Linked DNA regions of Bombyx mori. The protein of the gene in region 2 binds, or shares a complex with, the protein of the main gene of each other region. Links are inferred from orthologs where the notes say so. Each region holds a gene or a part of one and is shown on either strand. Other genes may lie near its edges.

Evidence for each region.
Region 1: mediator of RNA polymerase II transcription subunit 13 (region 2) and cdk8 share a complex: the UniProt entries of both Drosophila melanogaster proteins name them as parts of the cdk8 module of the Mediator complex. The link is inferred for Bombyx mori from reciprocal best matches to the Drosophila melanogaster genes skd and Cdk8.

What each region holds. Positions count from the first base shown.
Region 1 is NC_085129.1:10,512,985-10,517,430, reverse strand, and holds the start of cdk8 (cyclin dependent kinase 8), read right to left. Parts: upstream 3,106-4,446; 5' UTR 2,868-3,105; coding exon 2,622-2,867; intron 1,967-2,621; coding exon 1,715-1,966; intron 1,088-1,714; coding exon 898-1,087; intron 219-897; coding exon 5-218; intron 1-4. UniProt on the Drosophila melanogaster protein: Component of the Mediator complex, a coactivator involved in regulated gene transcription of nearly all RNA polymerase II-dependent genes.
Region 2 is NC_085116.1:2,028,946-2,032,783, forward strand, and holds part of mediator of RNA polymerase II transcription subunit 13, read left to right. Parts: coding exon 1-503; 3' UTR 504-3,838. UniProt on the Drosophila melanogaster protein: Component of the Mediator complex, a coactivator involved in the regulated transcription of nearly all RNA polymerase II-dependent genes.

The DNA.
Region 1 (4,446 bases), on a different chromosome or scaffold from region 2:
TTACTTTGATCTCTTGAAATCCTTAACTAGTGTTGCATGTTCTGGCATTTTCCTTATATCTTCCCAATCTTTTTCAAGTGGAAATCCCATAACATTAAATATTCTATCTAGTTGATCATGATGATATGGATTGCTTGTTTTAATGTCTTCTTGGCGACAATGGAAAATAGGTTCAGATGTTAATAGTTCTGCGAATATACATCCTATGGCCCAAATATCTGCAAATAAATGAGATTTTCTTAAATTACTTTTTTTTTTACATCTCTTTTGACTTGGTTTTAAACCGTGGCTCTACACATTTCGTCCAGGAAAAGTATCAGTATGAATACTTTCACTTTAAAAAAAATCATGTCAATCCATTGGTTTGTATTGACGTGAAAGAACAACATTTTAACATTACAATACACATATAATATTTTGCACCAATGAGTCTATACTTCATGAGCTCAAAATAATTGAGTGCCGCCTTGGCCTACTGCAGTCCCATATCCTGATATTTTTGAACAAGTGTCATGGGGTGGGAATCTTTCTATATTCTTCTTCGATTACATTATATTTTATGTTTACAATGAACTACTGATATGGTATGTAGTTCACAGAATGCACAATTACCGACCGGGTTTACTGAAATTTCAGATGAATTTTAGCTATGTTAAGTAACAATCCAAAAATGAAAATAGTATAATAGTTTTTATTTTCTAAGCTTTTTGGGATTTATTTAAATAATGATGAATTTAATAAAGTGCTACCAAGTTGTTAATTCCATGCTGAAGAGAAGGTGTTTTACCTGCCAAGTGTAGACGTCAATTAAGTAAAAATTACTTAAGTAAGTAAAAGGTAAGTACTTAATTTTATGTGGCTGTAGGTGAATTATTGTAAGAGTAATAAAATATATACCTATGGCCTTAGTGTAATGTCTGGCACCAAGCAACAGTTCAGGAGCTCTGTACCAAAATGTGACTACTACTGGATCTAAGTCAGCAAGTGGTTTCAAAGGTGCATTGAATAATCTTGCAAATCCCATGTCAGCTATTTTAACTCGGCCACGCTCCGGTCCTTCACCCATTACTAATATGTTGGCTGGTTTCTGGAGTATTAATTGTAAATAACATATATTGATATTGAACAAAAATAATATTTATCGATTCATTAAGTTTGATTTATGGTACACCAAAATAATCTATATATATAAAAATAATTGCTGTTCATTAGTCTCGCTAAAACTCGAGAACGGCTTAATTTTGGTCTTGAATTATTTGTGGAAGTCCAGAGGTTTAAAAGGTAGATAAATATGAAAATGTTCGGAATTAAATAAAAATAACAATTTTGTTTTTCCTTTGATATGTCCCCCGTCGGACGGATTCCTTCTGTTTGTTTTAAGTTTATTTTATGCAAAAGTTTGGGTCTTTTATTTATCGATTGAGGCACTACAAAGTCTGCCGGGTCAGCTAGTAATAAATAAATAAAAAAACAACAAATGCACATCATTCAACACAAAAAGAGATTAGTAAGACTGCCGTCCTAGTCTTTCTAATCTCTTCCAGGCCAACAGTAGAATTTCTATCAATTATAGTAATTTATTTAATATAATATTTATTATACTTTTATATATTATGTTATCTAATTTAGTATAAATTACAATTTCAATACAACATGAACTCATAGTATGTGAACGATTCATCATTATAAATATTACTATATACATCACACTCACCAGATCTCGATGCAAAACCCAGTTTGAATGTAAATAATGTATCCCATCCAATATCTGATAGAGGAGGCTCTTCACCATTCCTTTTGGCACCATAACTGATTTTTTATTAGCTTTAGCTGCTCTATGAAATTTGATTATATGCCACAAATCATGTTCTGCATAGTCAAATAGCAGCCAGACTTTTCGGTCAGTATGTGAAAGAAACACTCTAATAAGATTTATGACATTAGGATGTTTCAACTCTCTTAATAGCTAGAAAATAAATTGTTACACGAACTTTTTTATTATGATCTAAACCACACTACTATATTGTAGACCGAATATGAAGTAGAAAAACAGCTGATAATGCAATGTTTGTTTACAGTACACAATAATTATACAACACAACACAATCAAAATAGGTGTAATATCCCATGAACATATTATTTGAAATAATAATAGAAACAAGAATCAAAATATGCAAATTTTTTACATGGTGATGGTGAGTGGTTACCGTCATCCATGGACTTCAGCCAGGGGCTTAGCCAAGCCCCTGCCTACTGTTAAGTACTCTCCACAGCCCTCGTTTGAAGAAGGGCATGTCATAGCGCTTCGGAAACACCATGAAGGGGAGCTCATTTCAAAGCCGTATGGTACATGGCAAAAATATGTATGGAAACACACTGTGGATGAACTGAGTGGCTCAAGGTAGTGTGGACAAACTCTATTTCGGTGGTCGGCGGTGCGATGGTAAAAACGAGATGATGGAATCATTTCAAACAGTTCCTCATAGCACTCCCCATAGAACATATTATTATGGTAATAAATTCACATTTATACAGATATAAATTATTTAAAATTTAAAATTTTTATTTAAAATTAAAAACAAATTACTTAAATGAAATAATTATGTTGTATTTATACTTACAGCAATTTCCCTACATGCTGACATAGAAAGTCCAGTTCCTTCAATTTGTTTCAAAGCATAATCTTTGGTATCGGAGCCATCCTTCCTTCTGGCTTTATATACATGGCCATATGTACCTCTACCTACTTTACAGCCCTCATAGTCGAACAAGTCTTCCACTTTGGAACGTTCATTTTGAGTCTTGATTTTGAAATCGTAGTCCATCATCACAGCCGCCATGGTCTTATTTTGAAAGTTGTCTCCCATTGTTACGGTCGGGAAATGCAGTTTGGATCCCTGACTAATTAGGATTTATATTTTATTACACTTTAAATCATTTTGAATACCTTCCCTCACAAGTTATATACAAGACGTTATTCACTGAGCAAGTAATCACTACGTTATAACATTATTCTCCGTGAATTAGTGAAAAAGCCGTTATATCTAGTTCATGAGTGCAAATTATATCTATACTAGCCTAAATCTTTAAATTAAAACACTAAAACTAGCTTAAATAATTAAATTAAGTTTCATTCTCAAATAAATTAAGTGTATAATCTATGGTTTCATCTGCTTTTTTTTAAGTGATTTTATGACCTGGTAACTAAGACCTTTAAGTCATGTCTTATTTTAATTTATATTCTTATTTTTATGAAAAATGATAATATGGAGGGAAATGAAATGAAAATGATTAATCAACTGGGATGAAATTAAATGAAATGAGATGATATAGGATGAATATAATCTTAGTAAAATGGTGGTCATTTACTAAGATTTTTTCAGTGAACTTTTTGGAGGATCCCGAGAAGTTGCGTCCAGCGGCTTTGTTTCATTTTCCCACATTTGTGCACTTTCACAGATATTAAACAGTTAATAAACCACCGTTATTACACATTTAAACTTGAAGAAACACTAAATAGACAAAATAAAACAAATCACACAACTTCACTCCTCGCGTTCCCGCCAAAAAGTTTAAGTTTCATCTGTGATCATTAAAGTAGCCATATGCATATTTTTAAGGGATTTTACGACCTGGTAACTAAGACTTATAAGTCAAGTCTTATTTTAATTTAATGAAAACTTTTGTTTAATATGAAAAATTATAGAAATGAAATGAGATGAAAACGAAATGAAATACAATGAAAACGAAGTGAAATGAAACGAGATGAAATGATATGGGATTATATTTCAAATCTCAGTAAACTGGTGGTCATTCACTAAGACTTTTGAAGTGGACTTTTTGGAGGATCCCGAGAAGTTACGTTCAGCGGCTTTGTTTCATTTTCCCACATTTGTGCGCTTTCACAGATATTAAACAATTAATAAGCCACTGTTAATACACATTTAAACCTGAAGAAACACTAAATAGACAAAAAAAACAAATCACACAACTTCACTCCTCGCGTTCCCGCCAAATTATTTATGGTAATTTATGTCCGGGTAACTAAGACCTTTAAGTCATGTCTTATTTTAATTTATATTCTTATTTTTATGAAAAATGATAATATGGAGTGAAATGAAATGAAATGAAGACGATTGATTTGTAACATTAATCAACCGGGATGAAATGAAATGAGATGATATAGCATGAAATAATATAATCTCAGAAAAATGGTGGTCATTTACTGAGATTTTTTCAGTGGATCCCATATCATCTCATCTTATTTCATTTAATTTCGTGCCAATTGATTAATGTTACAAATTAATCATCTTCATTTCATTTCACTTCATATTATCATTTTTCATAAAAAAATTATAACCGATTAAGGTGTATGGTATGATACTTTTGCCTTCATAGTTGGAAAAATATAACTACTACTACTACTACAATACTGTTAATTGACAG
Region 2 (3,838 bases):
TGCTCAACTGCGACATGTTCAACAACATGTGGGCGCCCGGCAGCCCGCGCCGCGCCGACGACGACGCCGCCAGCCCCACGCCGCACCTCGCGCAGCAGCGCCTGCGGGACGACGGCCGCGAGGAGCGCGTGGGCACCGTGCTGCAGCAGCCGCTCGCGCTCGGCTACACCGTGTCCACGGCGCCGCTGGCCGGCATGCCCGCCTGGTGGTGGGCGAGCTGCGCGCACCTGCGGGACGCCTGCCCCGCCTTCCTCAAGACCGCGCTGCACCTGCACTCGGTGCACGGCGCCGACGACTACGCGGCCTTCACCCAGCGCCGCGACCAGCCCGCCCACCCGCTGGACTCGCAGACCACCACGGACGTGCTGCGGTACGTGCTGGAGGGCTACAACGCGCTGTCGTGGCTGGCGCTGGACACGAGCACGCACGACCGCCTGTCCTGTCTGCCGCTGCACGTGCAGGTGCTCATGCAGCTGTACCACGCGGCGGCCGCGCTGGGCTGAGCGACCCCCGCGCTCTTGTTCATGGTTACCATTAGGGCCTTCGGTCGTTGTTGGGCCGTGTTGTATTCAATTAGTTTGATGATAGTGAAAATTAGGTCGTTACGTGAGATTGAATGTTTCGGTGTGTTGTCTTAAAAATATATATATTTTTTCAATGTGAACACTTAATGTAAAGTATCTACTTTACATTAAGTGTTCACTTAATAAAAATAAAAGTTAAAATAATCAGAAAATAGCGTCCTGAAAATTTGTGATGAACTTCATTGTACTGACTCACCCTGCACTATGAATTAATTTAATCAATTTTTTCACAATACTCACGATAACAGATGATTGACCGTCCTAACGGTTAAATTATGTGAAGTTCCGATCGAGCAGTATTAAAATAATTATCAATTATCGGGACCCAATATCCTGTTTAAGCATTTTCTGGTCATAGAATTATCACAAATTTTGGAGGATGCATACATAGATTATTAAAAAGAAATTGACAACTACAATTACCCCGATTGAAAGTTCAATCGATCAACATTTTCAAAACTATCGAACATCAAAGATATACATTTTACATTAATGATGAAAATCCATGTTTTTGATGCAGAGGTTACATATACTTTGGTTGAACGGGAACGACGTTTACTTTATTTTGTGATATTTTTCCTACATGAATTTAATAAATGGATTTTAATGTATAATGAGTAGTAAAGCTATACAAGTTTTTGGAAAAAATATTTCATTTCGATTTATTATTATGAAAATTGAAACCATCGTCGTAATGTTAGGGAAAATTAATCGATGAAATATTTAACTTGTTAATTATCTAACTGTATGTATTATATTATATATAAGAAGAAGTATTAAAACAGTTTTATAATGAATTTTGTACCAAGGAAATATTACAGAAGGCCAGTTATTTATAATCATGATTAAGACATTGAAATGAAAATCGTCTGGTTTCGAATAATGCACCAACTACGCGAATGAAACGAGCCGTGTGCTCACTAACGAATGAAATGAATTCTAAATATTTGGATCACTTTAGTGTCACTTTGACTCCGCTGAAGTCGGCAACAAACCATAACGCCTTCACAATGTTTGTACGTTATCGAAGTGAATTTATTTCTAATTGAAAATAATCGACAACGCAGTTTTAAATGTACGATTGGATTTCATAATATTATTATTATGGTATTTGACAAATTCCTACCTCACAAAGATGTAGGTCATTGATTGATCAGATTGAATTTGTATTGTCTAAAGTCTAAATTCGTATCCAAAGTGATTAATACTCGGAAGATGTTTTCAAGGCAAAAATCTTAAAACGGAACATGTGTTCGAGTGATTCAACAATTCGACTAGTTTTATAAGAACCGGAGGAAACATTGCCAACTGTTATAGATACGAAAATTATTATTTTTTAATTACTCAATTCTTCCTTTTTCTTTTATTAATAAAATAACGTATTTTGGCGTATTCATAAAGAAAAAAAAGTACGTGACGAGCGAGATTGCTTGTAGCGCTCGATTCATTAGGATTTGTCAAAACCCAACTTCCATTGCAGTCTTGCATTATTCTCACACGACTTCCCGCTCACTTGTTCCACAATACGAACCTCATTTTACGTAGTTTCATTTGCAAGTATATTTTATTTGATTGGCGGCCGTTAAATGTTTGTCGAGGTTTTGATTTTTACATTATTCGTTGAATGAATATCGATTGCGTACGGATTCGCAGTCTGGCGCGGCCGATGAGAATCCTTAAATAAATGCAACACCAAATAAGTATTTGTGAAGGCCTTTTTTTCTCTTTGTTATCAAATATGTGAAATTTTATAGCAATAATATTAGGTGATAGATAGATACAGTTTATCAGTTATCCAAACGTGAAATAGTTTATAATAAAAGAATATAATTTTTGTCTATATAGGCTTCGTCGACTATGTGATGATCGAGCGACGCGTAAAAACTTTGGCCTTAACTTAAAAAAAAAAAATTCTCAAATGTGAACGTCACAATTTATATGGAGGTGTTGTATTCGTTGTTGTGCTGTATGTAAATGTGTATAATGTAATATATTTCGTTATTATATTTAAACCGGTATGCATTACCAAAGGAGTTAGATACTTGTAGTCTTATAGATATTTTTACGAGCGTTTCATAAGCGAACGTCCACACGTCTTGCGAATTCTCATCTACACCTATTTATTTATTGTAAACTTGACACGTTTTTTTTTTTAAATCATTTTGTACGATTTTTTTACGGTTAAATGTGTTTACATTTTTGGAAACTATTTGTTTAGCTAAATTGAATTTCGTTTGTTTAAAAATCATGAATCCGTATACTATTGCACTCTTTTTATACAAGGGAACAAAGCTCAACGTGTGCTTCACGCATTAACGTCCGCATTGCACACATCCAACTAAAGTAATCAATTCAAATTACATAAGAGCAATGCGGTGAACATATTCTAAACGATTGATAGTTATATAAATTTGTCTTATGATATATAAAAAAATAAAATCTGCCGGTCAATAACTAATTAGTAACACCAATAGTTTATGATTAGATAAATTAATAATAATAATAAAAATAGTTATAAAAGAGCCCCCTAGTTCACGTTTGATTGTAGCATTTGTATTTTTAAAAAAATAGTTGTTCTCGTTTTTATATGAACGGAGCCCAAACTAAACGGCGTGACGTTGTTGTGTTGTCGAATCTCCGACTATTTGTAGTTATATGAAATTTTATATTTTAATATTATATTATTAAAATGTAAGCTTAGGGAGACGTGCTGTGAACATTCTCTGTACAGAAACATTGGGAGGCGTGAAGAAAGCCTTTGCGTGTCACTCTTTAATTCATCTTCAATTCTATACACAATATGTGGACAGCAGATTGGATCGCATGAACAAAACGATGTTGTAAATTATTTTTGTTGCTTAGTACCTAATGTTTACTTGTTTGAGTGGTAGACGCGATCGGTCGACCATAGACAATTTGTACATGTGTTGTGCGAGGAGCGATACATAAATTATTTAAATGTAGAGGCGGCTCGTCCGCGACTTACTGAATTATGCCTAGTTGAATAATGAAATGTTTTAAAATGTGTTACGGCATTTGAAAATATTTAATGATGTTGTATATAGTTTATATTTTTGTTTTTTTTTTTGTGATCGATATTTTGTACAGAATCGGTTTAAATAATCGAATAACCGTTAATAACGTGCCCGCATTGCCGACGTAAAATTTGAGCACGTTTTAAAGAAACCACTCGTAATACTTTGTACAGTTGTTAGCGTGATTCGTAGTTGAATGATTTAATTTTTAAGGAATTT